Linked DNA regions of Elephas maximus indicus. The protein of the gene in region 1 purifies or fractionates together with the protein of each later gene. This does not show direct contact. Links are inferred from orthologs where the notes say so. Each region holds a gene or a part of one and is shown on either strand. Other genes may lie near its edges. The genes, in order: HSP90B1 and CALR.

Region 1 (15,295 bases):
GCCAAGGATTTCATTTTACTTAGACCCACAATCAACACCCATGGACGCAGCAGTCAAGAAATCAAACGACATATTGCATTAGGCAAACATGCTGCAAAAAAACCTCTTCCAAGTGTTAAAAAGCAAAGATGCCACTTTTAAGGACTAAGGTGTGCCTGACCCAAGCCATGGTGTTTTCAATCGCCTCACATGCACGTGAAAGCTGCATAATGAGTAAGGAAGACTTAAGAATTGACACCTTTGACTTACGGTGTTGGCGAAGAATAATGAATATATCATGGACTGTCAGAAAAACAAACAAATCTGTCTCGCAAAAAGTACAACCAGAATGCTCCTTAGAAGCAACGATGGCAATACTTCATCTCATGTACTTTGGACATGTTATCAGGAGGGACCAGTCCCTGGAGAAGGACACAATGCTTTGTAAAGCAAAGGGTCAGCGAACAAGAGGAAGACCCTCAATGAGATGGACTGACACAGTGGCTACATCACAATGATCATGAGGATGGCACAGGACCAGGCGGTATTTTGTTCTCTTGTACATAGGGTTGCTATGAGTAGAAACCAACTCAACATCACCTAACAAGTCAGAGATCTGATTTATCTACAGTCCTCTAACACCCAAGCCCACTATGCTAAACAGAGGGCACTAAGATGTAGTTATTAGTGAGTGGTAACTCCTAACGCAACAACAGGCTCAAGCAAAACAACAACTGTGTGGATGGTGCAGGACTGGGCAGGGTTTCATTCTGTTGTGCAGGCTAGCTATGAGTTGGAGCCAACTTCACAGCACGGCACCTAACAATGAGACTTGGAAGGAGCCCTGGTAGCACAGTGGTTACAGCGCTTGGTTGCTAACCGAAAGGTTCAAACCCACTAGCTGCTCTGTTAGAGAAAGATGTGGCAGTCTGCTTCCCTAGAGTACAGCCTTGAAAACCCTATGGAACAGTTCCACTCTGTCCTATAGGGTTGCTATGAGTCACAATCAACTTGAGGGCAATGGGTTTGGCTTTTTGGTTTTAATGAGATTTGGAGATGTGAATACTAAGGTAAATTGGAAACAAATTAGAAAAATCCTAAAATACAGTCAACTAATTAGATCTCACCAAAAGAATATTTGTGACTATGAAGACAAAAAATGTTAGCTTGTAGCCTGAATTGGTCAAAATAACAGGGATAAGCTTCTTCCCTACTTGAAAAATTTTAAATCCTTAGTGTTGGGAAATTTTTAAACTATGAATCAAGGGAAAAAAAAAAAAAAAAACTGGAGCTGCAGACACATTCTCTTACTCACTTGACAGGACTGGACAAGTCCCTAACCTTTGAAATGGAAATTTATCTCCACGATGGTAAAATTAACAACAAAAAGCAAAAAGCTGCACGGTCTACTTCAGTGTTACAAGCACCAAGAGATACAGTTCGAATCTACCACACGTTCCTTGGAAGCTCTATGGGGCAGCTCTACTCTGTCCTATAGGGTTGTTATGAGTCGGAATTGACTCGACAGCAATAGTTTTTTTTTTGTTTGTTTCTTCTCTGCAACGCATACCCTAGACTATTAATTCTTACTAGGAATTAGTAATACTCACGTAATTGTGGTTCCCCGTCCTAGAGTGTTTCCTCTTGGGTCAGCAATTACAGAAAATTCATTGGAATCCGATTCCCAGATGTGCTGGGTATCATTGTTGTGTTTAGATGTGACAATAACCTTATCTGCTACAAGGAAGGCAGAATAGAAACCAACACCGAACTGGCCAATCAATTCGGAGGTTGACTGGCCTTCTTCTTGTGCCTCGGTCATTCTGTTTAAAAACTCACTGGTCCCAGATTTGGCTATAGTACCAAGGTTTTTAACCAACTCTTCCCTGGTCATTCCTACACCAGTGTCTGTGACGTGTAGCAGGTTCTTCTCCTTGTCACACTAAAATCAAGATAAGAACAAGTATTAAGCCTGCTTAAGTATGGTGTGCCAAGTAAATGCTGAGCTAGGAACTGAGAACTTACTAGCTCTGGGCCACATCAATTCTAATATAGAAAATTAAATTGAGACATTTTCCTCTATACAGTATTTTCTGAGGTTTTCAGAAAGTACACATCCTAAAATGTAAGCATTTTTCTTTAAATGAGAAAACTCCTGTTTGATCTAAACTGTGCTGGTATACATCAGTTCAATGATTTAAAAACAAAATTTTGATGTTCAGTACTTTGCTATGAGATACTATCAAAATAGAAAAGGCGAAGACTGGTCTAAATGTCACAGGGCACAGGTTGACCTGAAAAACAAAAAAATGTTTTGCCTTTTCTTTGATAGAAAGTAAAAGGGCCCAAAATGTGAATGACTGCTGTATTTGTAATCTGTGGTGATCATTATTGTACACTAAATATTCCCAGTTCTCTGCCGTCCAGGCACATAGCAGGATTATACTTGGTCCATTTATATACTTGGGTGAGGCTACGTGACTAGTTCTGGCCAGTAAGTAGCAAGTGGGAGTCATGAGTGCTGCTTTCAGGCTGGAGACTTCAATGGGTGTGAGACCCTCCTGAGCTCTCTCTGTACCATGGCAACCAGCTACACTCCAGATGGTGGCTGCTCAATTAGCCTGTGTCCTGGAATGAGAATGATGCAGAAAAAAAGCCATAGGCAGCATCTGATCGATGATTTAAGCCAGGAGTTGGCAAACCTTTTCTGTAAAGGGCCAGACAGTAAATATTTTAGGATTTGTGGCTTATATGGTCTCTGTTGCTCAACTATTCAACTCTGCTGTTAAAGCACAAAAGCAGTCCATAGGTAATCCATAAACAAATGGGCATGGCTGTGTTCCAAAACTTTATTTATAAAAACAGGTAACGGGATGGATTGGCCCATAGGTTGCAGACTCCTGACTTAGTCTCTGAGATTTGGGAACTGTTATTGTGCAGAGCCCTAGTGGCACAGTAGTTAAGACTAAAAGGTCAGCAGTTTGAATCCACCAGCTGCTCTTTGGAAACTGTATGGGGCGGTTCTACTGTCCTACAGGGTCACTATGAGTTGGAATCAACTTGAGGGCAATGGGTTATGATAACCCAGCCTAACTTTACTGTCATGGATTCCCTATCTTTAAGGATTCTTTTTGCTTTAAAAGAAAGAAGTGTTTTAAGCTTACCTTAATTTTGACCGTTAGCTCCTCATTTCCAGAAAGAGCGTTTTCATCAGTCAGTGATATTAGCCTTATCTTATCTAAAGCATCAGAGGCATTTGAAATCAGTTCTCTCAGGAAAATCTAAGTGGAAGCCAGATTTAAGACACATTTAGGTTAGCCTCAAGATATACAATACAATGAATTTCATGTCAAATCCATTTTCTCTTCTTCACCCAAGGAATACTTCTCCTTATGGTACTCTCTTGGTAAAAAGAGGACTGTAACATCTACAAGGGATACCTGAACTGATAAAAGGCAAAACTCTATTCACCTACCAGTGATCTTTATGTTTGCAATAAGTGAGGCTCAGTTTGCGTGACTGTGATCTTTATGTTTGCAACAAGTGAGGCTCCGTTTATGTGATTGTCTTTAAGACTCAAAACTACTCAGCAGGCATGATCATTTGTGGAGAGGAAAAGGAAAGAGGAGGGAAAATGTCTAACATTTCCCACTTACCTCCCTAAACAATATGGTAAGCATCTAGAAGCAATCCTTACACACACGGATATTTAAACCTCACTAACCAGTGCGTGGAGCCCTGGAGGCACACTGGTTAAGCGTTTGGCTGTTAACCAAAAGGTCAGCAGTTCGAATCTATCAGTTGCTCCTTGGAAATCCTACAGGGCAGTTCTACTACTCTGTCTTATAGGGTCACTATAAATTGGAATCGACTTGATGGCAATGAGTTTGGGTTTTTTTGCTTTTTAATTAGTTACATGGAATTACTGTGAAAGTAAATTTACTGTGAGACTAAGTATACTACATACAGAGATAAAATACTACCTTAACCACATGACGCTTACCTCTTTGTTTTTATATAATGAATTGATGATAAGTTTCATCATTCTGTTAACTTCAGCTTGGAAGGCAAACTTTTCAGATTTCTCTCTAAGTTCTCTTATTTGGGATGCATTTAATCCATCCAATTGAATAGCTTCTTCCTCTCTAAGAAAACAGATAAGCAAATACTGCATTGCTTAGTTCCCCACAAAAACTTCAGATCTGTGAGGACAGCATTAAGAGCCTCCGATGACTGTCTCGAGGTTTAAAAGCATAAAATGCAAACCTTTATAAAATGTTACTAATCCTCATCTCATTATTATTGTAACACAATAGTAGGTTACCTTTAACACTTAGTTGGAAACATTCAGCTCTTAAAACTGCCAGGAAAATAACCCCAACTTTCCTCCACTGAACAGCAAAGACATAACTCACAGCAAGGTCTACAAAATTGTCATGAAGTCTGAGGTCAAATGTACAAACACTATTCAACAGATGGAAACCCTATCTTTTTTACTACTAAAATGCATATACCAAAAGAGTTGAGGACAAAACCAACTGAAGTTTATGGGGCTAGTATTCGGCAATGTAGCTATCAAAAGGAATTAATTCAACTTTGATCAATCATTTCTAGAGATAGGTGATGATAGATATATTGGGAATCAGAAGATCCTATGTACAAACATACACAGCCTTAAAGTGCTCTCTGACTGCTTTAGGTATTTATAAACACCAGCTGTTACACTTTATCTCACCATGAGTTAAAATAGACTGGAAGGCAACTAACAACCACAACACTTTATCTAGTACCCTTGGAGAAGAGTTACAAAAGTAGCTTCTGTATTCCACAACATTTATCAGAAAGTCAAGAGGGCTTATCTGTATAGTTTCAAATGAACACAAACCTCTGTACTACTTCATCGTCCGTCCTAGAACCTTCTCTACTTTTACCCAGATCCTCTTCTACCGTACCATCCACATCGACTTCATCATCTGCTCGGACGGACCCTGAAGGAAGATTTAACACCAGAAAACTCTTAAATATATTATTGCTTCGTGTACTTCTCAGAAGGAGTATGACCAAACAGGGCAAGGGTAGTAGGAGTTGCAAAATTTAGTTGGCAAACAGGGGAGGTGGAGATGAAGAATGGATCCACTAGTTTAAATACGCAACGTAAACCCACTGTCAGCATATTTCTTATTAACGTTCAGACGCTGAGGTCCCCCAACAGATTTTGAAATATGGAGGCAACCATCGCTTCTAAATATAGCCCTCCGGTCTTTGCCGAAAAGATTGATACTAAGACCCTTCTACATCCACACGTGTTACGCGCGCAAGCCGAAACACGGCCTCCAAACTGACCAAGCCAAAACTTAGGGCTTCGTTTTCACAGGTCAAAATACAAAAATATTTGTGCAACCTATGGCGAGGGGAACTGAAACGGGGCCCGGGGGCTTGAGAAGCGGAAGAGACGTTAAGAATCTGGGTCCAGCAAGACTGAATCAAACACGCAGACAGGTCCTTCCCACCGGGTCCAAGGCCCCACGCTCCCGAGTCCAGCATCTGAGAAAGGAAACGTGCGCTCGCGAGGAGTCCAAAAGACTGGGGCGGGGGTCCTCAAGCTCAGATGGTCAGAGATCGCAGAGACTGACAAAAGTCCTCTGGAAAGGGCGCCAACAATGTTCCCGGGTGGGTGGGACGAAGCCCACGGGCCCCACCACGAGGTGGCTGAGACCTCTGGGTGCGGATACTATGAGCTCAGGAGATTTAAATGACTTTGCTCTCTTTTTTTTTTCCAGAGGAAGGGGGTAAACTAAATTCCGTATCTTTCGAGGAAAGGCGACTGGCCCCTCGGCCCATCACAGCTTCTACTGCCCCCCTCCCTGGTTGAACACCCCCAGAACCTTCGAGAAACTACTACGCTTGAGCAGGGAAGGCATCGGGGGGCGCCTGCTGCCCCGGATCACTCACCAACGGTCAGCAGGACGCAGCAGAGGCCCAGCACCCACAGGGCCCTCATGGCGCGCAGCCAGTGATAGGTTTCAAGTCTCTTTGGATCACAGGAGCTGTCTCCACGCCTCCAACCCAAAAGACTAGCTCCTCACACCTCAAGCCGCACGGTCCGCCCACTACCCCCACGCAGGTCGGGCCGCTTTTCTCCCCCACTCCTCTCGGGCGGGGGACGGGAAACACGAACCCGCCAATCACGCCGCACCACGCACCCCGTGTACCCAATGGGAACTCGTCGGGGGGACCGTTGTCTACCAATCGGAGCTGTCCAGGTGCGGTGTCCGGTGCCCGAAGCGTGTCTCCTTTCGATTGGTCATCCGTAGCCTCTTTTCTCCAATCAAATGTCTCCGCGGGTTCCTCACACGCAGGACCGCCCCTTTGCCTGGGAATCTTTGGCCCCTAAGAGAAACCGCCCCATAAACGTAAGCGCGGAACACCCCCATCCTTTAAGAGGTCGCAAGGGAACTACTTCCGGTTCCTAGAGCGCGTTTACTCCGTGACCAAGGGAAACGGTATCCATGGCAACGCGTTCTTTACCATTTCCTGTCTATGCATAGAATCACTTTGGAAGAGATTCTAGCACTACTTTTCTCTCAGCTTTCTACTTGGCCGTTCTTCTCGGAAAAGAGAAACACGTGAGAGGTTGAAAATTCCGACCGCTTTTCATGGGGGTGGCGATAAACTACAGTTCCCGACATGCAACGTATTAGGGGTTCACTGTAATGAACACTGGGAATCGTAGTCTGTGGCTCTTTCACATTTTTCCAGGGAGGTTTTGCGGTAACTGTGCTGTGTGCTTTAGAATCTACACTTCTTTCTGATTGTGTTAGAGATCTGTGCCTCTTGGAGAAATCTCCAGTGTACACAGCCTTTAGAAGTGGGCCTACAGAGCCGTCACACCTTGGCCAAGGCCTTCCTGTGACCCCGAGTCCGAGCTCTCAGAGTCTGGGCGCCGTCTCAAGGTTCATGGACGCGCGTTTCTGAATCTGGCTTTTCCTGCGTCACTTGGACAGCCTGGGCCTTCATTCCTTCTCCCTGATTTGGTTTACAGAAGCCGAGGTGGTAGACTTTTTTCCCCACCTGAGGCAAATCGTGAACCAGTTCGATGTGCAAAGGTGGTGACCAAGTAGTCCTTGAGAAGCGTAGTCATAAAGTCCATTCTAGCACAGAAAAGGAAGCAGCTTAGTTTAACCGGTGCAGGAGGATACACCTGCGGATGTTTGAAAGCAAAACCTGTGGTGCAGCAAATGAGAAAAAGAGTGCGGATTTGTAACTTCACTGAAATATCCTGTCAGCGTTCAGAAAGACAGAAAAAACCAGGTGTCTTGTCTGTGAGGGAAGCCCCTGTCACTGAGCTGCGAAATATTTTCTACGTCCTCTTGCCTTTGTCTTTACTTACGCCGCACCTCACTGGGTTCCCAATATACACACCAGCCTTCCTTATTGCTTCCTCTAGGAAAACTGAACTTTGAATTAGTTTTTAGATAATTGTTACCTGAATTCCTGAAGACAAGTTTTTCAGTGACTGCCATAATTTTTTACAACTTCCCCTATTTAGGTTGCCTGTCTTGATTTTGTGGTTAGTATTTACCCATTGTGGTGGTCCTTTATTTACATATACCCAAATTACCTACGATTGTTATTAGTAAGCAAAGGATAGTTTACAAAGCCTGTTTTATGCTGTTGCGCTCCCATCTCACCCCTCTCCTGTCTCTCCTTTAGCATATACCAGAGTGCGAGTTACATTTTTAAATTCTTTTTTTAAAAAATTGAATTCTTTTTCTTTTCTGCATTTCACAGCTCAACTTCATCTTTGTCTCTAGTTCTGAACAAGTAAGCAACCAGTTCTGAAACTGCAAATTCCATCTTAACTGGTCAGTGGTGGGTAGTTTGTGCACCTGGAGGAAACTGAGAGAGACACATGCCCTCCAAAATAGAGCCATGCTTGTGGTAGGTCTTTCTGCAGATGAGATGGGAGAGCACAAGGCAGCCTGGCAGATGACTGGTCATTGTCTGGTTCAGCTCTGCTTTTTAGAATCTCTTTTAAGACTAGATTCCTGGTTGGGTATCCTGTAAAAGGCATGGGCAGTGTCTTAGTTTCTTAATGCAGCTATAACAGAAATACCACAGTGGGTGGCTTTAACAAACAGAAATTTATTTTCTCACAGTTTAGGAGGATAGAAGTCCTAACTCAGGGCACTGGCTCTAGGGGAAAGCTTTCTCTCTCTTTTGGCTCTAGGGGAGGATCTTTGTCCTTTCAGCTCCTGGTCTTTGGTTCCTTGGCCATCTTCATGGCTACCTTCCCTTTTGTCTTTGCCTAATGTGCTCCTTTCATATCTCAAAAGTGATCGGCTTAAGACACACCCTACACTGACATGACATTAACATAACAAAGAAAATCCTACTCCCAGATGGGATTAGGTCCACACATATAAACCAAACCAATTGCCAATCCAATCTATTCCAACCCTATAGGACAGAGTAGAACTACTCAGAGTAGGGTTTCCAAGGCTATAATCTTTACAGAAGCAGATTACCACATATTTCTCCCACAGAGCAGCTGGTGGGTTCGAACCACAGATCTTTTGGTTAGCAGCTGAGTGCTTTAACCACTGTGCCACCAGTGTTCCTTATATCCACATGTATAAAACCAAAAACCAAACCCACTGCCATTGAGTTGATTCTGGCTTACAGAGATCCTATAGAATAGAGTAGAATTGCCCCATGGGGTTTTAAAGGCTATAATCTTCATGGGAGCAGACTGCCACATCTTTCTCCCATGGAGCAGCTGGTATATTTGGACTGCCAACCTTTTGGTTAGCAACTGATTGCTTAACCACTGTGCCACCAGGGCTCCTTATCTACATGTATGTTGTTGTTAGGTGCTATTGAGTTGATTCCGACTCACAGTGACTCTATATATAGGTCAGAGTAGAACTGGCGCATAGGGTTTCCAAGAAGTAGCTGGTGGATTTGAACTGCTGACCTTTTGGTTAGCAGCAAGCTCGTAACCACTGTGGGGTCCATCCACATGTAGAAGGATTAGAATTTACAACACATTTTTGGGGTGCACAATTCAACCTATAATGGGCAGTTTTCTTGGTTCTTAGCTTTCCTGTTTCTCTCCCGTGATCTTTTCAGCTCTTCTGACTTTTGACCCATTACTGATCCCCAGTTCCCATCTTGGCCTAGCTGCTCCAGGATTAACACTCCAGATGGTTACTTCAGCTACCACCGTTGGATCTGATTCCTTTGCATCCCAAGTTCAGTTTGCCCTTTTTGACACTATATTTCCATAGACACTTCTGGAAACAGCTACCTTCGTTGTTCTCTTTAATCTGCTTCTTCAACAGAGGCAACCCATTAGACAGCACTCTACTTTGTGGTTGAATTTGGAAAGAAAAAAACAGGCAAAGGGATGCAGTTAGATAGATCACCAAGTAGGCAGGTGTAATTCAGGAGTGGGGAGTCAGGGAGAAGGCAGACTGGAGAGACCAAGGAAAGCAGGTGGCATCAGGGAACATTAAGGAATGGGGCCAAGCCCCGAGGGGAATTGGTAGTTTCATTGATTGGTTCATTCATCCACTCATTCATTTATTAATTCAGCAGGTGTTGAGGACCCGGAATGTACCGGGTATTATGCTAGGTGCTGGCTACAGAGAAGAGCAATGAAGATACAGCCTCTGTATAAAACTTGAACAAATATTAACAGTGGAGTTACATCCTAAATACATGTATCTTATTTTAACTGAAAAAAATATAAAAAGAATGACTATGATTTTTATGAAGGTGTATCAGGGAACTTTTTGGGGTGATGGAAATGCTCTTGATGTTAATTGTGGTGGTTAAAACTCATCCAACGGTACTTAAAAAGGGTGGATTTTATTATATATAAATTATACCTCATTAAAAAAAACTAAAATAACTATCATTCTAAACACTAAAAACCATTTCAGTAAGAATCAGGAATTTCGATTGTGATGCCTGTTATTGCCAGTATTGGGCCACACATTTGGTCCAACAATAAGACAAGAAAATGAAGTACTTGGCATAAACTTTAGAGAGGTTGAAGTCCATTATTTTGAAATTCCTTTTTACTGGTGACATGCTTGTATATTCAGGAAACCCAAGATAATGTAGTTTAAAAAAATGCATGAATAAATATGGTGTTGTTAGGTACTGTTGAGTTGATTCCGACTCATAGTGACCCTGTGCACAACAGAACAAAACTGTCCGGTCCTGCGCCACCCTGACAATTGTTTTGCTTAAGCCCAAGAATGCATATGAAATCTGGTAAATCATTAACTGTAAGATAAATATATAAAATTGATAGTCTTGTGCTACTCTTGTAATAAATTCATAGAAATTAAAATAAAAATTCCATTCATATTAGAGATAAATACTGTAAAATGCTTAGAAATAAACTTAAGAATGACATAGCTCCAACATGAAGAAAATTATAAAATCTTACTGAAGAATAGAAAATAAGGCTTAAACTGATAGAAAGACATGATCTTGGCTGGAAAGATTTATCATTAAAGTGTCAGTTCTCCTAAGATTAATATAAAAATTCATTCATTCATTCAACAAATATTTGAGAGCCAATTGTATGCCAGGTACCATTTAGGCACTAGGAATATATATTTTTTCTTGTTATCATTGTTTTATTGTGCTTCAGGTGAAAGTTTACAGCTCACATTAATTTCTCATGCAAAAATTTATCCACATATTGTTTTGTGACATTAGTTGCAATCCCCACAATGTGACAGCACACTCCCTTTTCCACCTTGGTTTCCCTGTGTCCATTAGACTAGTTCGTGTCCGTTGCTCCCTTCTCATCCTGCTTTTGGACAGGAGCTGCCCATTTGGTCTCATATCTGATTGAACTAAGAAGCACATTCCTCACGTGTATTATTTTTTGTTTTATAGTCCTGTCTACTCTTTGTCTGAGTAGTGGGCTTTGGGAATGGTTTCAGTTCTGGGTTAACAGTGCATCTGGGGGCCATAGTTTTGGGGGTTCCGCCAGTCTCTGTCAGACCATTTAAATCTGGTCTTTTTACGTGAATTTGAGTTCTGTTCTACATTTTTCTCCTGCTCTGTCCAGTACTCTGTTGTGTTCGCTGTCAGGGTGGTCACCGGTGGTAACGGGGCACCAACTAGTTTTTCTGGTCTCTGGCTGGTGGAGTGTCTGGTTCAAGTGGTTGCCATTAGTCTTTGGGCTAATATTGTCCTTGTGTCTTTACTTTTCTTTATTCTCCTTTGCTCCAAGTGGGATGAGACCAATTGATGTATCTTAGATAGCCACTTGCAAACTTTTAAGACCCCAGACGTCACTCACCAGAGTGGGATGTAGAACATTTTCTTAATAAACTTTGTTATGCCAATTGACCTAGATGTCCCCAAAAACTATGATCCCCAGGCTCCAGCCCCAGCTACCCTGTCCCTCAAAGTGTTTGGATGTGTCCAGGAAACTTCTTAGCTTTTGCTTTTGTCCAGCTGTGCTGACTTCCCTTGTATTGTGTGTTGTCCTTCCCTTTACCAAAGATGATCCTTGTCTACTATCTAGTTAGTATGGTAGACAGGGGTGTTATGGAAAAAAAATTGAAGGAAAGCGTATCAGGAGTGTTGGGGGATGTAGGGGTGTAGTTTATAGTTTTGAATAGTGTGATCAGACTGGTCTAGTTGAAAAGGTGACATTTGAGCAAAGACTTGAGGAAGATGAGGGAGTTAGCCATGTAGCTATCTGGGGAGAAAGAGTTTCAAGTAGAAACCTAATTAGAACCCCAGCAGCATTGCTGCAGTGATTATTATCATTAAAATTACAGTAGATAGGATAATATTAAATGAAGAACTTGGGTGAGGTGGCCGTATCTATGTATTATTTATTGCTGTGTAACAAATTACTTTAAAACGTAACAGCTTAAAACAATAAACATTTATTATCTCACATAGTTATCTGTGGGTAAAAAAATCTAGAAATGCTTCGCTGGGTAGTTCTGGCTCATAGTCTCTCGTGAAGCTGTAGTCAGGATGTTGGCCAGGGCTGCAGTCAGCCTTAGGCTTGATTGGGGCTGGATGACCCACTTATACAATGGCTCACTTACATAGCTATTGGCAGGAGACCTCAATTCTCCACTGATTGTTGGCAGGAAGCCTCAGTTCCTTAACTTTTGGCCCTCTCTTAGGCCTCACAGTATGGCAGCAGGCTTTCCCCGGAGTGAGCGATCCAAGAGAGAGTAAGGTGGGAGCCACGATGACTTTTATGACCAACCTCAGAAATCACATACCGTTATTTATGTCAAATCCTAGTGGTTACACAAGTCAGCCCTACTCATTGAGGGAAGGGATTATACAAGGATGTTAACACCAGGAGGCAGAGTTCATTGTAGTCATTTTGAAGGATGGCTATCACACGTAGCTGCAAGGGAAGCTGGGGAAGGTTGTATCTGGCATTTTCAGCTTCTTTCACGAGAGATGGACTCAGAATCATAAGGTGAGGTTTTCCCCAAAATATAGTGTTTTAGTTACCTAGTGCTGCTGTAACAAAAAATACTGCAAGTGGGTGGCTTTAAAGAACATTTATTTTTTCACAGTTTTAGAGGCTAAAAGTTCAAATTAAAGCTATGTCGATTCCTTCTGTGAACTGGTGTCTTTTAGCAATCTTTGGTGTTCTTTTGCTTGTAGGTGGGCCCTCACATGACGTCTGTCTTCTCTGTGTGTGTGTGTGTCTCTCTATGCCTATTTTTGCTTTTTATGGGATACTTCACAGAAGTGATTAGGTTCAGGACCCACCCTACTCTCGTATGATCTCATTAACAACAAAAACCTGATTTTCAAGTAGGCTCCTATTTATAGATACAGGGGTTAGGACTTCCACATATTTTGGGGGGACATAATTTAATCTATAACATATATGAAGGGGATTCAATGCTATACACAAATAGATCAATGCAGCAAAAGAAAGAATCCAGGAATAGATTGTTTCACTTTAATTCATGATAAAAGTGATATTTCAATTCAGAGGGAAAATGATAGTTTACTTCATAAAGTGTACTGGCCTTACTAGTTATTCATCTCAAAGAAAATAGAGCTAGGCTCCTAACTTGTATCATATAAAAAATAATTCCAACTTAGAAGAAAATAAGAGAGCCTGTGAATACAAACTGGCAATAAGGTGACCTTCTTAACCAAGCTTGAGCATCCAGAAAATGCAACAGAAAGCCTAGTGGATTCACTACCTCCTCCTTGGTGGGCCCTGAACTTCACTTTTTGTCTTTCTAGCACTATGAGGTTGCCGAGCTTTGCTTAGCTTATCAGCCTCGTGCCTTCTTACCTAAGAATATTCACTCTGAGACCTAAGAGTGGGGCTTTGATCTGGCTCTTCCTGGTTCTGTCTTGGCCAAGGAAGCAAAAAATGGGACAGACCCATGTTTAAAATTTGGGTGAACTGGGAATGATAAGCGGAATGGTAACCAGAACGGGAAAAATAGCAGTGGAAGCCCTGCTGGAAACCTAATCTCCCTCTTAGAAAACAAGGGCAGGGTATGTATTGCATAGCAACCAAATCTCTTGCCTATTGAATTTTGTGCAGATTCAGAAACAGCAGTGTCTAGCTCAAAGATGGTGTGTGATCGCTCCACTTTGCGTTTCGCTCTCCCGACCAATAATCCAGTCTCCTGCATCAGGCTCCTGAAAGGACCTACTATGCCTCTTCCAAGTCTCCCATTCCAGAGCTTCAACCTGTCATTTTTCCTGTTCTGGTTATTGTTCCGGATCACCCAAATTGAAAAAATTCGGGTCTGTCTGGTTTCGCCTCATCAGCCATAACTGAACCAGTTCGAACCGGATAAGGATTAGCAAACACTTTGAGGGGTAAAAAACCAAAAACCCAGTGCTGTCAAGTCGATTCCGACTCACAGCGACCCTATAGCAACAGAAAATATAAGGCTCACTTCTCTAAGCTTTCCTTCTCTCTAGGATCTTGCGTCCTCAAATCCTGGTTGCATAGGTAGCTGTCTGATGCCTTCAAATATCTTACTGGGCTTCTGTAGTTCGGCGTGAGTATTCGTCTTCTTCAGCTTGCGCATCATAGGAGAATGCAGAAGTACATGTTGATCTACATTCTAAGTCCTTGGTCTCATTTTAATGTTTGAACAAAAAAACAAAACAAAAAGATTTCAGCTAAAAAATTAAACAGGAATTATTTTCTCATATTAACCTGTTGGTTGCTTTTCATCAAGCAATTTATGTTTTAATGTCTCCTAACTATGGAACTTGTATTTTTAACTATAGAACAATACATGCGTTTCTAAATATTGGATGTAATTGTAACTATAGTTTACATTACGTCCTCTTTTTAACTAGCTTTAAATGTAATTTTGGATTGTTTAGATCTTCTTCCTACCTCTCATGGCAGCTCACACCATATTACCCTGACTGAGAACTGAGTTCAGATATATAAAATGGTTATATGCCTCTCTTACATGCATTCAGAAAGTTTAAACCTGTCATAAATTCGCGCCTAATTTTGTTGTTTATACTTTATTTTCTATTTAAAAACAAACATCTTCCTAAAGTGTGCCTTAAGACAAACAGGTCAATTAAAAAATATCTATCCAGTTGTTCTCTATCAACTTTGGATGCTGGCTGAGGATAAGGGAATTGAACTTCAAATAAGTGATTTGTTAAATTTAAAATTGTGGTAAATAAACTGGTTGTTTTAAATGATCGAACCAGCCATGTTGATAATGAATTACATTAGGAATTTGTAGAGTTTTGGAGCTGGAAGGAGTCTTAGAAATCATGTAGTTGCATAACTGTCACTTTTGGTTTTAAATTATGAAACTAACACATTATCATGGTTAAAAAAAAAATCAGTTAGTACAGAAAAATATAAGGTCAAAGGTGAAAGTTCCAGGTTTCCCTGATGACAGCATTCCCATTATCTAGAGATCACCACTGTTAGCAGCTTTCCAGAAATTTTCAATGGTATATACTAATATATGTGTGTGTACAGTGTACCTACATATATGTGGGTTTAGAGATAAATGGAATGGTATTCTAAACACTAGCTTATTCCATATGATAGTTTTTGAATGTCTCATTCCGCTATTTGATAAGTGTTTAGATCATGTCTAGTTTGTTGCTATTACAGTCAATGTTGCAGGGAACATTTTAATTCACATAGTTTTTCTTTTATTGTTGGTGAAAATATACACAGCAAAACATAACCCATTCAACAATTTCTACAGGTATAACTGAGTAACATTAATTACAGTCCTCAACTTGTGCAACTGTTCTTACTCTCCTTTTCCAAATTGTTCAT
Region 2 (15,759 bases), on another chromosome or scaffold:
GCTGGGGCTGGAAGAGTGCATCAAAGTTCCAAAAGGAGCTCTCAATGAAGTTGTCGGTGGGCATCTCAGTAAACCTGGAGGAAGATGCGGCCTGACTGCCCTGCCTGTGCCCATGTCCAGTCACTGGCCTGGCCCTGCCTCCAGCCCCATGCTCACCCCATCTCCAGGAAGATCTGCCGGAACTGGGTGCGGACCTTGAGCAGGGGGTGAAGGTGGCCACTACTGGGGAGGACACCACGGGCTGAGAAGTTGTAGGGCTTGAAAGGCCGGTCCCGCCAGGAGCCGCTGTGGGTGGAGTGTAGGGTGCCAGGGTCCAGTGTGGGCTGTCCCCCCACCCCTTGCACAGCCCCACCTGCCCCGCCTACGCTGGGGCCGCCCTGTACCTGGAGATCATCTCAGGGCTAAGCTCTGTCTCCTGCTTGGAGATGCTGGTGCTGAAGGCACTCCCTTTGCTCACCCAGTAGGTCTTCAGGATCCTGTGGCCAGAGCAGGGGAGGGGATGCCACTGCTATCTCCTCTAAGAGGCCTTCCCTGATCTCTATCTGACACTGACCCCAACACCACCCACCAAGTCACTCTGCTTTATTTCCTTCCTGACACTTGGCATCACCTGAAATTCTCTTACTTGCCCACCCCCCATCTCCTCATGTTCTTTTGCTCAACAGACGCTTGTTGAGGACATACTGTGTGCCAGGGTCTGGTTGAAAACCACAGAACACAGCTGGGAACAACCACCACAGATAGCCTTTAGAAGACTAATTCCGTGCCAGGCTGTTCCGCTGAACTCATTCCTTATGACAAGAGACCATTTTGTTTGTAGGTGAGGACATGGAGACCAAGAAAGACCAGGTAACTTGGCCAAGATCACACAGCTAAGTGGTAGAGCCAACTCCAGTCTGTGTTCTGGTAACCCTGCACCACCCTGCATCTGCTCCAATGGGGTGTCAGCTGTGTAAGAGCAGAGCCCCAAGCCCCGTCTGGTTCACGGCTATAGCCACAAGGCCCAGAACCCTGCGTGGCACACAGTAGGTGCTCAGTATGGGAGGATGGGGGAGACTGCCAGCACTCACTGCCCCATACTAGCAGGTCTGCTCCCTCCCTACACCCAGCTCTGGGACCTTGCAGGTGACATTGGGGTTCCAGCCCACTCACACTTCAGACAGGAGCTTCCTCTTCCTGAGCTCGCTCCTCTCCTTCTCTCCCAACTTCTCGGCCTCCCCACACTGGACCAGGCGGAGCCGCCGCTGCACCTCATCTGCCACGCTGTCCACCTGCAGTGATGATGGACTGTGAGGGACAGTGAGGGCAAGGGGCTCACCCACCCACCCATCCACCTGCTTGCAGGGACTCACCACTCTGAACACTCGGGGCCCATCAGCTGTGCTCTTGTCCACGCGGATCCACTTATTGGACATGGCCTTGCTGAAGCCCACTTTGCCACTGGGCAGTCGCTAGGGGAGAGGCTGCAGTCAGTGGGGCACAAGGGCTGCAACCATCACATCCCTGAGCCCTGCCCTCTGCCCCCCAGGCCCCTACCATGAGCTCGCTTTGAGCCAGGCCCTCTGGGGGGATGCTGTGGAACACCCTGGCTTCATGGCTGCCCTCCCGGGCAATCTCCTCGCCCTCAGTGGTGAGCTCCCAGCGCCTGGAGGAACGCTGCTCGGCCTCAATGATCTGTAGGAAAATGGGGGAAAGGGGCACAGGCAGGGGTGGGGTTCAGAGCCAGGCATCCCCTCACCACAGCACTACCCCTGAAGCCAGATGCCTGTGTTCACATCCCAGCTCTGCCACTTTCCAGCTGAGAAATCTCTTTAAGGATTTCCCCTTGCTGAGCCTCGTTATTATGATAGCTCATGCCTCCCACACTGAGATAAAGTACTAATGACGTTGCCTGGCAGAAAACCTGCGACAGATTCCAAGGTCTCAGGTAAACTGATTTGTGTCAGCATCCCAGAGCGTCAGGGAAGGTCCATGTGAGGAATCCGAGGCACGAGGATAACGGTTCCAGGGTCAAGCAGACAGGGGCAGGGCTGGTTGGGCCCACAGGTCCTCGCTCTCCCTCAGATCTAATCTCAGCTCTGCTCCTCACTCACTGTGTGACCTCAGGAAAGTTGCTTAACCTCCTTGAGTGAATTTCTTCATGCATAAGAAAAGAATAATGATGGATGCTACCTCAGCAGTTGTTGCAAAAAGTAAACCAATTCATACCCGTGAAAATTACAAAGAGCTTAACACATGGTAAATCCTGCATAAACTCTGTTATTACTAAGTTATTATTTCCTATCATTATTGTTGTTATCATTACCATTACAGTCATTACGCTGAACCACATTAAACTGCCACTACTTGGCACTCTGTGACCTACATCAATGTCAGTATCACTTGGCCAAGCCCTATACACCTCAGCTTCGATCTTTCCCCTGCACTGATGACCTTCTTGTACTGTCGGGTGGGGAAGAGCTTGGGCTCTGCAGCCAGAGCACCTAATCTCACATTGGGGTTTATCTGACTTTTTGAGACCAAGTTACTGAACAGTGCTGAGCATCAGTTGCCACAACCACAAAATGGGGATAATAGTGTCATTATGCTAGGGTTGTGCCCAGGATTGGACAAATTGAGATCAGAACAGGGCACAGAATGTGAACTCGACAAATAAACTGCCAAGATCTGCCTCCTGAGTCCTGGCCTCATGAGTCTGCCATCTATTATGGCATGCTGAGGCCCCTCAGCATCCTCCTCCTGTGGCTCTGTCACCTGTGCTTCTCCTGCCTTGCCCTGAATCTCAGGCCGTGCCTCGGCTCCATGCCAGCTGCCTCCCACAGCCAAACACCAACTCCTTCACCTCGAGGATGTGGCAGACTCTGTCCCTGCATATCCTTCTCAAAGCTGATGTTGACAGCCCCTGAAGCCGGCTGCCTGCATGTCTTCCTGGCTCCAGCTCCTGCCATGGCTCCCCTGCACTCCTGGGAGATAAACATCCGGAAGGCCTCGAAAATTATGGCTCTGTTGGTCTCTGCAACCACCTGTCTGCCCCCTCCCATTGATCCTAAAGTGCCATGGCTTTTATTCTCAGTGCAGAGATCTGACCCTGCTGCCACCTTCTCCAGGAGCCTCCCTAACCCATAAGGCTGGGTCAGCTGTCACCTCTGGGTTCCCTGTGCTTGCCCCACCACTCTGGTCACTTGAGCATCTTCCTCGTTAGCCTGCAACCTTCATGACCGCAGCGATCGCATCTTGTCCAAAATCGCACCACCCACGCCAAACATGCCTCAGTGGACGTTTGTTGTATGAATGAACGCGAGTTAGCCCAGGCCCTCACTCCTTCCAGAACCCTGCCTGCGCACCCCGGACTGTACACATATGCTATACAATTACCCCTCATCAGGCCTGACGTGGTCTGGCCTGGAGGCAGGGCCCGTCAGGCACAGCCACGGCAGGTACTTAAGTGCAGAGGGCTGGCATCACAGCCCCAGCTCACCTCGCCCAGGGCCTGCAGGCTCTTCACGGCTCCCACCATGGCCTGGTGCTCCACGCCTAGCTCGGCCGCTACCTCTGCGCTGTCCAGGCCTCCATCGGCCGCCTCTAGCCGCCGTAGTAGCAGCTCTGCCACAGGACTGTCCGCCATTGCTGCTCCCACCACGCTCTCCGTGCCCCAGCCTGGCCAAAGGAGCCGGAACCGGAACCTGCGGCAGGAGCGTGTGACGCCATCTTGAGTGTGGCGAAGCAGTCGTGCGGCGCTCCAAGAGACGCCATCTTTAGTGTGTCAGGTAAGCCAAGAGACTCTTCCCACCTCTGCCCTGGAAGTCTGGTTGACTAGAGGGGTCATATTGGTGACCTCAAGGTCAGAAGGACAGTGTTGTTTCGGGTTTTTATCCAGCCCTACACCCAGCGGGCTGTATGACCTTGGACTGCACCCTCTCTGGGCCTGGGTATCTTCTGCTCTTCTGAATTTTTTCTTGCACTGAAAAGGCCGGTGGGTGGTGGGCTTCAGAGATGGTCCCTCTGCTGTTCTCAGTTACTTTTAAACTTTCAAAGGGAGGCTGGATAGGGGCTATCCCCATTCATAGAGGAGGGAGGGACTTCACTAAAAAGAATAATAGTCAAAGTAGCAGGTAACTTAGGTAAGGCTACCTTCTGTGTGCCTGGCCTAGGGCTAAGTACTTCTTGTGTATTATTTCATTTCTCCACAAAACCATGTGATGTAGATATTGACATAATCCCAATTTCACAGACGAGAAAACTGAGGCTCAGAGGGTAATGATTTGCCCGAGGTTCTATAGTGAGTTGGTGAAGGTGGGGTCAGAAATGGTAAACCCTCTAGATTCTAATCCCCCATGCTCCAAGATGAATGTCACAATCAAACCCAACATAACCCATTCCCACTGGGTCAATTCCAATTCATAGCAACCCCATAGGACAGAGTACAACTGCCCCACAGGGTTTTCAAGGCTTTAATCTTTATGGAAGCAGAATGCCACACCTTTCTCCCATGGAGTGGCTGGTGCATTTGAACAGTAATGGATAGTCTAGATCATTGTTGTCCTATTAAAATGTAATGCAAGATATAAATATTTTAAATTTTCTAGTAGCTGTGTTCAAAAAAAAGAAATTGTGTTCAAAAAAAAGAAACTGGTGAAACTAATTTTAACATCTTATTTAGCCCAATACATCCAAGTTATTATTAACATATCTTCAATTAAAAGTTACTGAGAGTCTGAGGTCTTAAATGCTAATAAGCGGCCATCTAAGATGCATCAATTGGTCTCAACCCACCTGGATCAAAGGAGAATGAAGAACACCAAGATCACAAGGTAATTATGAGCCCAAGAGACAGAAAGGGCCACATGAACTAGAGACTTAACATCATCCTGAGACCAGAAGAACTAGATGGTGCCTGGCCACAACCAATGACTGCCCTGACAGGGAACACAACAGAGAACCCCTGAGGGAACAGGAGAACAGTGAGATGCAGACCCCAAATTCTCATAAAAAGACCAGACTTAATGGTCTGACTGAGACTAGAAGAATCCTGGCGGTCATGGTCCCCAAACCTTCTGTAGGCCCAGGACAGGAACCATTCCAGAAGACAACTCATCAGACATAGAATGGACTGGACAATGGGTTGGAGAGAGATGCTGATGAGGGGTGAGCTACTTGTATCAGGTGGACACTTGAGACTGTGTTGGCATCTCCTGCCTGGAGGGGAGATGGGAGGGTAGAGGGGGTTAGAAACTGGCAAAATGGCCATGAAAGGAGAGACTGGAAGGAGGGAGAGGGCTGACTCATTAGGGGGAGAGTAAGTGGGAGTATGTAGTAAGGTGTATGTAAGTTTATATGTGAGAGACTGACTTGATTTGTAAACTTTCACTTAAAGCACAATAAAAATTATTTAAAAAAAGAAAGTTACTGAGATATTTTGCATTCCTTTTTTAGTTAACTCTTTGAAATTTGATGTATATTTTACACTTACAGCATATCTTAGTTTGGACTAGCCACATTTTACAGGGCTAGTAGTCACATGTGACTGACTTTATTAGACGGTGCAAACAGATTCAAATTCCAGTTCTTCCATTTATGTCACTCAGCCAAATCGCTTAATCTTTCTGTGCCTTGGTTTCCTCACCTGGTGGAGATGATAAAAGCCCAGGTTATCGTGAAAATTAAGTGAAATAGTGCATACTCATGTATGCAGTAATTGCTAATACTGAGTGAGTGTAGACCATATGTCAGCCACTTTTCTGAGCAAACACACTTATTCAGTTAACCGTCACAATTATTGAGTCTATAAAATGGGGATACCCAATCCTGACCCACCTGCCTCAGGTGTCAGGGAGACATGTCTCTCAGAGTCCTTTCTCTAGGTAAGGCTAGTTTCCAAGCACTTCCCCTGTTTTTATTTCATTCCCACAAGAGTCCTTCATTCTTTCTGTCATGCGGCAAGTCATTTTTAAGCATGTTCTTTGCCAGGTGCTGCAGTAGACACTGGGGAATAGTGAGAACAAGACAGGCACAATGTCTACCCTCAGGCAGGAAGCACAAGCCCATTTTCTGTCCAGGACACTGAGGACAGGGGTGGCAGGCCTGGGGTAGTCACCCTGCACCTGGGCCTCCTTTTGAGGGGGGCAGGTTGGTGCCAGGGACAGATTATTCAATAAGCAAGGTACACACGGGCTTACTTTTACTTATTTACTTACCTGTAGTGCACAATTTCACTTGAAACCATTGTGTACTACAGATTAGTCCATAAACAAAACTAAGCCCATGCATACGTTGTTTTTACTATATGTTGCTGTGAGTCAATTCCAACTCATAGTGACCCTATAGGACCGAGGAGAACTGCCTCATAGGGTTTCCAAGGAGTGGCTGGTGGATTTGAGCTGCCAACCTTTTGGTTTGCAGCCGAGCTCTTAACTGCTGTGCCACTGGGGGTTTGTGCGTTGCTTACTGATTAATCTGCCTCTGCTGGTGACAGAAAATACTGACTGAGGAAAGGGGCAGTACCTCTATTTCTTCGAGACCTTTCTTTCCTCCGCTTCTGGACTCCTCACCACTAAAAAAGCATCCCTTCCATGCCCTTGTCCCAGGATTTCCCACCGCTCCCCTTTCCACAGTCCACTTCCTCGTTCCCAGGTCTAGGGCCTACTATGTTAAAAAAAAAATGTGGAGACCGGAAAATCCCTACCCTCCTTCCTCCTCTCTGCAGCCTGGGGGCAGGGATCTGGTATGGTCTCATGCCTCTGGCTTCAGAAGACTCTAGATCCAGGGGTCCCATCCTTCTCCCTTGGACCTTATCTTTCCTACCGTCTGCCTCTCTTTTTCCTCTTCAACGGACCCCCTGCCCTCTTGCCCTTAGCCGTTTAATTGCAAAAGCTAGACGGTTTGTGGGAGACCACAAGACGGCGACCCTTTTCATTTACAGGCTGAGGGGGGAGCAAAGGGGAGGCTGTAACTAAGGAAGCAACACAATCTTCACTCTAGGAGCCACATCTTTGAGCCTTCTGGGCTTCCTTCTCTCTGTCCCTGTACACCTCTAAAAGCGCTGAAGGCATTTCTGCCAGGTAGGAGCTGGCCAGGGGCGTTTGGCCTCTCAGGAACTCCTGTGATTTCAGAGAGGCCGTGTCTTGCCCCAGGTCACAAAGCAGCAGTCTGACAAGTTTCCGAGGCACTGGAGGCCATGGGGAGGAGAACTAGCACCCACCTGGTTGGCCTGCATGGCTGTAGCCCTGGCACCGGGGTGCAGGAACGCCCTAGGACCCCAGCGCCTGAGTTCTGCCCCATTCTAGGGCAAGGGGAAGCCCACCGTCAGGGTTGTTTCTCAAATGCAGGGTATAAAGCTGAGTGGCTTGTAAAGCCCAAAGGCCGTGCTCATCCCTCTACGCAGGGGGGACGGGAGGCGGCGAGGTTGGGGAAGGACATCGGCCCAGCGCGGTGACACCTGCGCTCGCGCGGGTTCTTTAAACGCCCAGATGAGGAGCAATGCGCGCGAGCGAGGACTGGGCTGGGCTGAGGGCTAGTCACATGACCTGGCCAGAGAGGCTCGCAGCCCCCACCCCACCGGTGGGCGTCCCCCACAACGCGTGGTCGACCTTCATTGGCCTGCGGTGGGGCCAATAGAAATCGGCCATCTGGGAACCCAGCGTTCCGAGGCACAGCCTAATATGCTGAGCCGGCAAGAGTCCAATGGAAAGGGGTGTTCGAAGCCACAGACCAATGATAAAGCACGGAGGGCGGGTGCAAAGGCTGGGCCAGGTTGGTTTGAGAGGCGGGTGGGTATAAAAGCGCACGGCCGCTGACGGCGTCCGTCCCTATTGCAGAGCCGCTGGCAGGGTAGTGTCTTAAAGGGCTTGCGTGCCACCGCCCCCTTCGGCCCGCCATGCTGCTACCCGTGCCGCTGCTGCTCGGCCTACTTGGCTTGGCCGCCGCTGAGCCCACCGTGTACTTCAAGGAGCAGTTTCTGGACGGAGGTAATACCTGGTCCCGTCCCAAAGGTGCCCCGAGGACGCGGCTGGTCCCCGGCTCGGATCTCCGTTGTCTGTAATTACTGCTCAAAGGACCAACACTGTGGCCTCCAGGGACCAGAGCCGCAGGCGATCCTTCCTGCGTTCCTGGGGAGCGCCGAGGGCGCAGCTGCCTCCTGCGGTGGGGGTTAGCGTTCGCTTGAGGTGTCAAACTAGAGGTTGGGGTGGGGGGTGTCAGGGAAGATTTCCTTACCTGCTCCTAGGAGCTTGTGGCCCCCGGCGATGTGGGGGGTGAATGGTCAGCGCGGTCACCCTGACGTGTTCCTTTGACTCCTTAGATGGGTGGACCGACCGCTGGGTCGAATCCACACACAAGTCGGATTTTGGCAAGTTCGTTCTGAGTTCCGGCAAGTTCTACGGTGACCAGGAGAAAGATAAGGGTAAGAACCTGGGGGTGGGTGCCCAGATCTGGGACAACTTTATGGCGGAAGCCTTAGTCTCTATACGGAACTTGGGCATCCCCAGAAGTAGGATCAGTAGAGAAAGGGAGTTGTCTGTATTGTGGGAAGCCGAGGGTCCTGGGGGTGGTGGTTTAGCTGTGTCCTCATCACCGTTTTATGCCAGGGCTGCAGACAAGCCAGGACGCCCGCTTCTACGCCCTGTCGGCAAGATTCGAGCCTTTCAGCAACAAAGACAAGACGCTGGTAGTGCAGTTTACTGTGAAGCATGAGCAGAACATCGACTGTGGGGGCGGCTATGTGAAGCTGTTTCCTGATGGTTTAGACCAGGCGGACATGCATGGGGACTCTGAATACAACATCATGTTTGGTGAGGGGCCCTGCCCAGTGGTGACTTCTGTACCCTTCCTTTGGGCTCTTCAACCGTGAAAGGTGGTCCTGAGACTACAGAAAGAACTTACTGACACTCATTTCCATAGCAGGAAAGCTAGGAGAATAGATACAGTTAGCTGAGTTTATGCTGGTGATTTATAAGTGTCTGTGTTATCGTTAGTAGCTGTTGCCTCATTTTATAAATGAGGATACTAAGTTCTGCAGTGATAACTTTTTAATTTAAGGTTCTACACACAGTCTATTAGACTTAAAAGATGGTCTATACTAACATACGGATTTTGAGAATGAAGTCTTTTGCAAAGAGGGGTGGGAGCTCCTGGTGTGGGCAGCCTTTGGCTCTAACTGAACCTGTTTCCCACTTAGGCCCTGACATCTGTGGCCCAGGCACCAAGAAGGTTCATGTCATCTTCAACTACAAGGGCAAGAACGTGCTGATCAACAAGGACATCCGTTGCAAGGTTTGCCTGGGGGTGGTGGCAGAGGGCTTCCAGGGAGGATCCAAGGCCAGCCGGGTGGGCGGGACCACTCACTTCCCGCCCTCTCCAGGATGATGAATTCACACACCTGTATACTCTGATCGTGAGGCCCGATAACACCTATGAGGTGAAGATCGACAACAGTCAGGTAGAGTCAGGCTCCTTGGAAGATGATTGGGACTTCCTGCCACCCAAGAAGATAAAGGATCCCAGTGCTGCCAAGCCTGAAGACTGGGATGAGCGGGCCAAGATCGACGACCCCACAGACTCCAAGCCTGAGGTTGGTGCTTAGGCCAGGGCTGTCCACAGTAGAGGGTGTGGAGGACAGAAAGCCAAGCTGACTCTGACCTCCTTGTGTACGCCCAGGACTGGGACAAGCCTGAGCACATCCCTGATCCCGATGCCAAGAAGCCCGAGGACTGGGATGAGGAGATGGATGGAGAGTGGGAACCACCCGTGATTCAGAACCCTGAGTACAAGGTGGGCTTGGGGCTCTGAGTAGGGCTGGGGTGTATGGTGGAGAGGGCACAGAACTTTGCCCACCATCAGGTTTTATCCTCCACAGGGTGAGTGGAAACCCCGGCAGATTGACAACCCAGATTACAAGGGCAAGTGGATCCACCCAGAGATCGACAACCCCGAGTACTCCCCTGATGCTAACATCTACTCCTATGACAGCTTTGCTGTGCTGGGCCTAGATCTCTGGCAGGTGAGGCACAGCGGGAGGAGGAAGGAGGATCCTGGGGGGGAGGAGTGACAGAATCTTAACCCAGAAGACAAGGAACAGAGGAGGTAGGATTCAAATGCAGGTAGGTCTGACTCCAAAATGATCCTTTTTCTGTTCTTGAAGTATTTCCTGGCCTGTTTTTAGGGAGCACTTGCTGTGTGCCAGGTAGTTTTCTCAAATACCTTTATTTGAATCAACTCAATTCTCCCAGCCCATAAGGCGGTTAGATCACCCCATTAGAAGTTTGCATTTGTAGTTCTGAATTTTTGTGTGTCTGTTTCCTTGTTCACCGGTGTATATTCCGCCTAGAAGAGTACTTGGCACGCAGTAGGTACTTGATAACTATAAGTGAGTGAAGAAATGAGAAGTAGCAGAGCTGGGATTTTAAAGTCAGGTGGGTGGACTGCAGTCCCTGTCTATTTTTAACTGTAATATTAGCAATGCTATTCTTCTGTACATGTGTTTATAAAGAAATGTAGAGACCGAGGTAGCATAAAATGAATATAGGAACACAGATGTGAGCCTCGTCCAAGGCTAGGGCCACCAAGTGTCATCTCTAATCACTTCTCTCTCCACTCACCCCCAGGTCAAGTCTGGCACCATCTTTGACAATTTCCTCATCACCAACGACGAGGCCTATGCTGAGGAGTTTGGCAACGAGACGTGGGGTGTCACAAAGGTGGGGCCGGCCCCAGGCCTGGGTTTGGGGGTGGACAGGGCTGGCAGGTAGGGGACAGGCTCTGAGGTGTATGGTCTGGGCCCACAGGCTGCAGAAAAGCTCATGAAGGACAAGCAGGACGAAGAGCAGAGGCTAAAGGAAGAGGAAGAGGACAAGAAGCGCAAGGAAGAGGAGGCGGCAGAGGACAAAGAAGAAGAGGAGGACAAAGATGAAGATGATGAGGATGAAGAGGACAAAGAGGAGGATGAGGAGGAAGATGTGGGCCAGGCCAAGGATGAGCTGTAGAGGCCATGCCACCTGCCTCTGGGGCTGGACTGAGGCCTGAGCGCTCCTGCCACAGAGCCGGCCACGCCAAATAATGTCTCTATGAGACTGGAGAACTTTCACTTTTTCCAGGCGGTTTCAGATTTGGGGTGGGTTTTGGTTTTGTCCCCGCCTCCTTTTTTTTTTTTTTTTACTGGTGTTTTGTCTTTGATTCTCCCTCAGCCCCCACCCCTGGGTCTCATCTTTCTTCACATCTTTTCCTTCCTCTGTTCTCTGCCTGAATCCCTTAGTTCCTTTCCAGCCTGGGGGTCAGGGAGTGGGTGTGGAGAAGCCCAGGCCTGAGATTCCATCTGCTCTCCTTCCTGGAGTCCGGGGGGCATCAGGAGAAAGGGGTGGCATCCCAGCGCCCCCAGCACTGAGAAAGAATGGGGCTCTTAGGGCCCAAGCTCTGCCCCCACTTTCTCCCTACTCCCAGGACTGGGCCACTTCTGGGTGGGGCAGCAGGTTCCAGCTCAGCTCATACTGAGAATGTAAGAACTACATGCAAAATTTCTATTAAATTAAGTTTTGTGTCTTCCTTCTGTGTTTCCTTTTTCGGGGGAGGATGGACATCTGGGAACCAAAGATGGCCTTTTTTTCGGGGGGGGGGGGTTGGCTCCTAAGTAATGGGTTCTCTGAATTTTCATTTTTCAGCTGCTGAAGAGTTGGCTGAGTGTCATCCCACAAGGTTACAAAGGCCCTTGCTTGTCTAGTGAGCCCAAATCGGAGGATAACTGTTAAAAAATATTCCACGTATTAACTCTTTTAGTTCTGTTACCTATTTGCTTTGATTGTGAGGAGACTGAGGCACAGAACTTAGTGGTGGGGCAGGGATTTCAATCCACACCTGAACACTGTCTCATGGTTTATCTCGTCATTGAGCTTTTTTCTGTCCCTATTACCTAATGATTACATGGCTGTTAGTGCTTTTAAACTTTTTTTTAATACCAGCTGGAGTTAAAAGCTATTTACTTTTATAATCGAGGAAATAGGTTCAAGCACAACCCCAAGTTCCTGTGGTCTTCTGTAGCCATAGCCATGATGGGGTCTGAACCCGTTGAGGGGAAAGAGGGCTTGAGGTAGTGCAGAGAGAGCAGAGGTGGAGATCCAGGAAGCTGCCTATGGCAAGATGGTGAAAGCCCAGTGAGGAGGATGGGGGAGTTGATGGACCCTGTTTCAGGAGAGGGTAAGAAGCTGTAAGCTGCTCCTGGCTGGTGCTGGTGGAGGTTTGCATAGGCTCAGGGCATGGAGTGGAGAGAGGCAGCATGACTTGGTTACAGTTGTTGGGCAGTTGGTGAGGACTGTCCAGTGCCCAGCCTGGGTGAGTTGGATGGGAACTGTGAGAGCAGCAGGTTTGGAGGCAGCTAATGATGGTCAGTTGGGGAAAGGTCAGGTTTGTTGCCACAGCCTCCTCTGGCCTCCAGGCTTCCAGTTTCGATACCCTAACTGGGAATCAAGCCTGCTCCTCCAAGCCATCCAGTCTCAAAACACGGGCTTTGTGATGGCAAACCTAACTCCCCTTGTTCCCTCCACTTGCTCCTTCATGCTTCCATTCCTTTGTGTGCGCTGTGGCTATTTATTGGAAGGAAGCCTTTTAAGTTAACGTCTTCATTAAGTGTTTTTGGAGTCAGACCCAGGATTCTGTGACCAAAGTGGCTGGACAAATAGCAGCAGCGGTGGGAGGCCCCAAAAATCATCCTCTTCAGGAGCGAATAAGTGAAACCACAAAATCGTTCCAGTGCTCCTTCTGTTTCCACGCCCAAATGAGTTTTTCTAAATTGTTGGTGACTTTCCAGGTATCCTTTCCCATCTTGAGTAGTTTCCACATTCAAGGCTCCACAGCTGGAATAATACAAAGCTCATTTGAATGGGCAAAAACATGAACATTTAACAGAAGAAATGTAAGTACATAACTTTTATTCAACGTCACCAAAAATAATTTTTTAAGTCACTTCCGCGTGGAAGCAGGGGAAACCGGAGCCATTTTGTGACCACATGACGTCACCGCTAACCGGCATGGCGTCACTCCCAGGAAGCCACGTGACGGGTGGGCGCGCTGTGCAAGGAGTCTCCCCGCTCCCCAGGAGTGGTGTTAATCTGCGCATGCCTGGTCAGAGGACGCGCAGGTCCCAGCCCACGAACCTAAGAGCCACGCGCCGGTCACGTGCACGGTGGCCGGCGCGCGCACCATCTGCCCCGGAAGCGGTCTGCGCGCGGCGCTGCTGGGCGCTAAGATGGCGGCGGCGTGAGTTGCATGTTGTGTGAGGATCCCAGGGCCAGGATCCGTCGCTCGGCCCTGCCATGGCCGTCACCATCACGCTCAAAACGCTGCAGCAGCAGACCTTCAAGATCCGCATGGAACCTGATGAGACGGTGCGGGCCGGGCTGAGCCCCGCGGGCAGGAGCTACGACGGGTGCCGGGGGTAGGGTGGGGGCGGGGAGGCCGGGATCCCGGTGAGAGGGGCGCAGAGGTGGGTGCGGGTCAGGTCCTGTCGTCTCCCCACCTGCCGGACCTCCTCGGATCTCCTCCATGGTCCCCGACCCAGCCCCCAGCGGCTCGGCCGCTCCCTGGCGAGTCTTGGGGCGAGGCCCCACCCCCGGGGCGCCCGCCAGGCCCCGGCTCCAATGTCAGTGCTCTCTCGCGGGGCGCAGGAAGCCGTAGGCTCGGATTCCCGGCCGGGTCGCGCTCTCCAGGGCGGGGGCTCCCGCGTTCCCGGCTTTGCAGGCAGCTTCTCGGAACGTTGGCAGCTGAATCCAGGATTGGTGATCGGGAGATGCGGAGTGATGACAGCGATGAAGATGATAATAAACGGTCGAATCGTATTGGTTTTAGTGGTCCATTTATTCTTTACTAGTTGATTGAGCTTTTTGGTGCTATTGTCTTACTAAATGTGTAAAACAGCTTGTTGTTTGGAAACTGATATTCTTCGTTTTACTACAGTCATATATAGCTAATAAGTGGCAGAGCTAGAATTCTAATTCTATTCTGCCTAGTGTGAGAGCTTACGGTCTGAACACTACGCTGTTTTTGGCTGGAAGGAGCTTAGGACTTAAACGTAATAAGTGTGTTAACCGGTGTACTTGCCACTTTTTGCACAGCTACCCCCTAAGAGAGACATTAAAACCCACTTTTTGTAGAAAAGAAAATAGACTTATGTTTTTTGACCAGCTTATTTGTTTGATTTTGGGCAAGTTGCTTAACTTTCCTGTCTATTTTGGCAAATATAAGATGAGAACTTACATGTGTATGATAACCTATACATGTAGGATAGTATTAGTGACATAAGATGTTTTAAGTAAATATTGTGTAGTCTTAATGCCCAAGGTTGTCAGCATAGAATGGGGGACGCTTCTTTTTATTATTTTTCAGCACACTTTATGTTATTTAAAAAAATATTCCTTTTGTTCTCCGCACACCAGTGTCGTTTCCATGAGAGCAGGGCCATGTGTTGAGTTTTATTTTCTGTGACTTCAGTGCCAGAAACAGCACCTGGCACATAGAAGGCACTCAGTAAACGATCTGTTGAACGGTGGGATGGTTCAACAGATTCACATCTGGTACGCGTGGCTATGAGGTTTAGCCTTTCTGCCTTTCAGGGCTTGTAGCCACTCCCCCCAGACTGGACAAGAAGAGGGACTCCTGGGGGGTTTGCAATGGCTCTGTATTCTTTCGTTCAGGTGAAGGTCCTAAAGGAGAAGATAGAAGCTGAGAAGGGTCGGGATGCTTTTCCCGTGGCTGGACAGAAGCTTATTTATGCCGGCAAGATCCTGAGTGACGATGTCCCCATCAGGGACTATCGCATAGATGAGAAGAACTTTGTGGTTGTCATGGTGACCAAGGTTGGTGAAGCGTGCTTGCTGGGAGGGTGTGTGGATTTGCTGTGGAGCTGGCTAAGAGCACATGTGCCCAGGACAGATTAGCCACGAGCAGGGTGGGGCTGCAATAAGGCGGGATATTGGAGCTTGATAGGGGTGCTAACACCGTTCCCTTTTCCTGGCTACCACAGGCCAAAGCTGGCCCAGGCACCTCGGCACCCCCAGAGACTTCACCCACTGCTGCCCCTGAGTCCTCCACATCCTTCCTGCCAGCCCCTGCCTCAGGCATGTCTCATCCCCCACCTACGGCCAAAGAGGACAAGAGCCCATCAGAGGAATCAGTCCCCACGATGTCCCCGGAGTCTGTGTCAGGGTAAGGCAGAGGGGCAGTTCCAGCTTGGGTTCTGTTCTCCCAGTACATTCCAGTACCCACATACGTGGTCCCATGCACCTGGAAGGAGGGCAAGCTGGCAAAAGCCAGGGTCCGATTTCTCTCTCTTGAATTTGCAGCTCTGTTCCCTCTTCAGGTAGCAGCGGGCGAGAGGAAGATGCGGCCTCCACGCTAGGTGGGTGGGTGGTCCCTGGGTGTGGGAGGGCCTGGGTGCTGCCCTTTCCTCTCCCTGGTGACCCAGGCCTTCTTCCTACACAGTGACTGGCTCTGAGTATGAAACGATGCTGACAGAGATCATGTCCATGGGTTATGAGCGGGAGCGGGTTGTGGCTGCCCTGAGAGCCAGCTACAACAACCCCCACCGTGCTGTGGAGTATCTGCTCACGGTGAGGTGGGGCTGCTGCCTCCCCAGGGAGGCTTTGGAGGGCATCCCAGAGCCTTGCTGCACTGATGGGCATTCAGGGAGCTAAAAGCTGTCCCCAGAAGACTGGGTGGTGGTTCCGACCAGATAAGGCTTCTTGCAGGAGGCAGGACTTGAGTGGTGGGGTGGACCTGGGA

What was found.
Region 2: the proteins of HSP90B1 (region 1) and CALR fractionate together in Homo sapiens (co-fractionation; 4 studies listed by BioGRID, with this or other methods). This does not show direct contact. The link is inferred for Elephas maximus indicus from reciprocal best matches to the Homo sapiens genes HSP90B1 and CALR.

The regions. Positions count from the first base shown.
Region 1 is NC_064822.1:170,639,339-170,654,633, reverse strand, and holds the start of HSP90B1 (endoplasmin), read right to left. Parts: upstream 6,118-15,295; 5' UTR 5,981-6,117; coding exon 5,932-5,980; intron 4,968-5,931; coding exon 4,865-4,967; intron 4,125-4,864; coding exon 3,983-4,124; intron 3,261-3,982; coding exon 3,144-3,260; intron 1,922-3,143; coding exon 1,590-1,921; intron 1-1,589.
Region 2 is NC_064821.1:31,596,729-31,612,487, forward strand, and holds CALR (calreticulin), read left to right. Parts: upstream 1-7,791; 5' UTR 7,792-7,873; coding exon 7,874-7,964; intron 7,965-8,296; coding exon 8,297-8,398; intron 8,399-8,582; coding exon 8,583-8,786; intron 8,787-9,172; coding exon 9,173-9,267; intron 9,268-9,355; coding exon 9,356-9,565; intron 9,566-9,651; coding exon 9,652-9,765; intron 9,766-9,850; coding exon 9,851-9,994; intron 9,995-10,598; coding exon 10,599-10,691; intron 10,692-10,778; coding exon 10,779-10,976; 3' UTR 10,977-11,532; downstream 11,533-15,759. Other genes in the region: FARSA (phenylalanine--tRNA ligase alpha subunit), read right to left, coding at 1-74, 157-285, 384-476, 1,153-1,271, 1,353-1,451, 1,537-1,674, 3,479-3,683, 7,199-7,278; RAD23A (UV excision repair protein RAD23 homolog A), read left to right, coding at 13,296-13,367, 14,673-14,834, 15,002-15,183, 15,321-15,376, 15,460-15,587. UniProt on the Homo sapiens protein: Calcium-binding chaperone that promotes folding, oligomeric assembly and quality control in the endoplasmic reticulum (ER) via the calreticulin/calnexin cycle.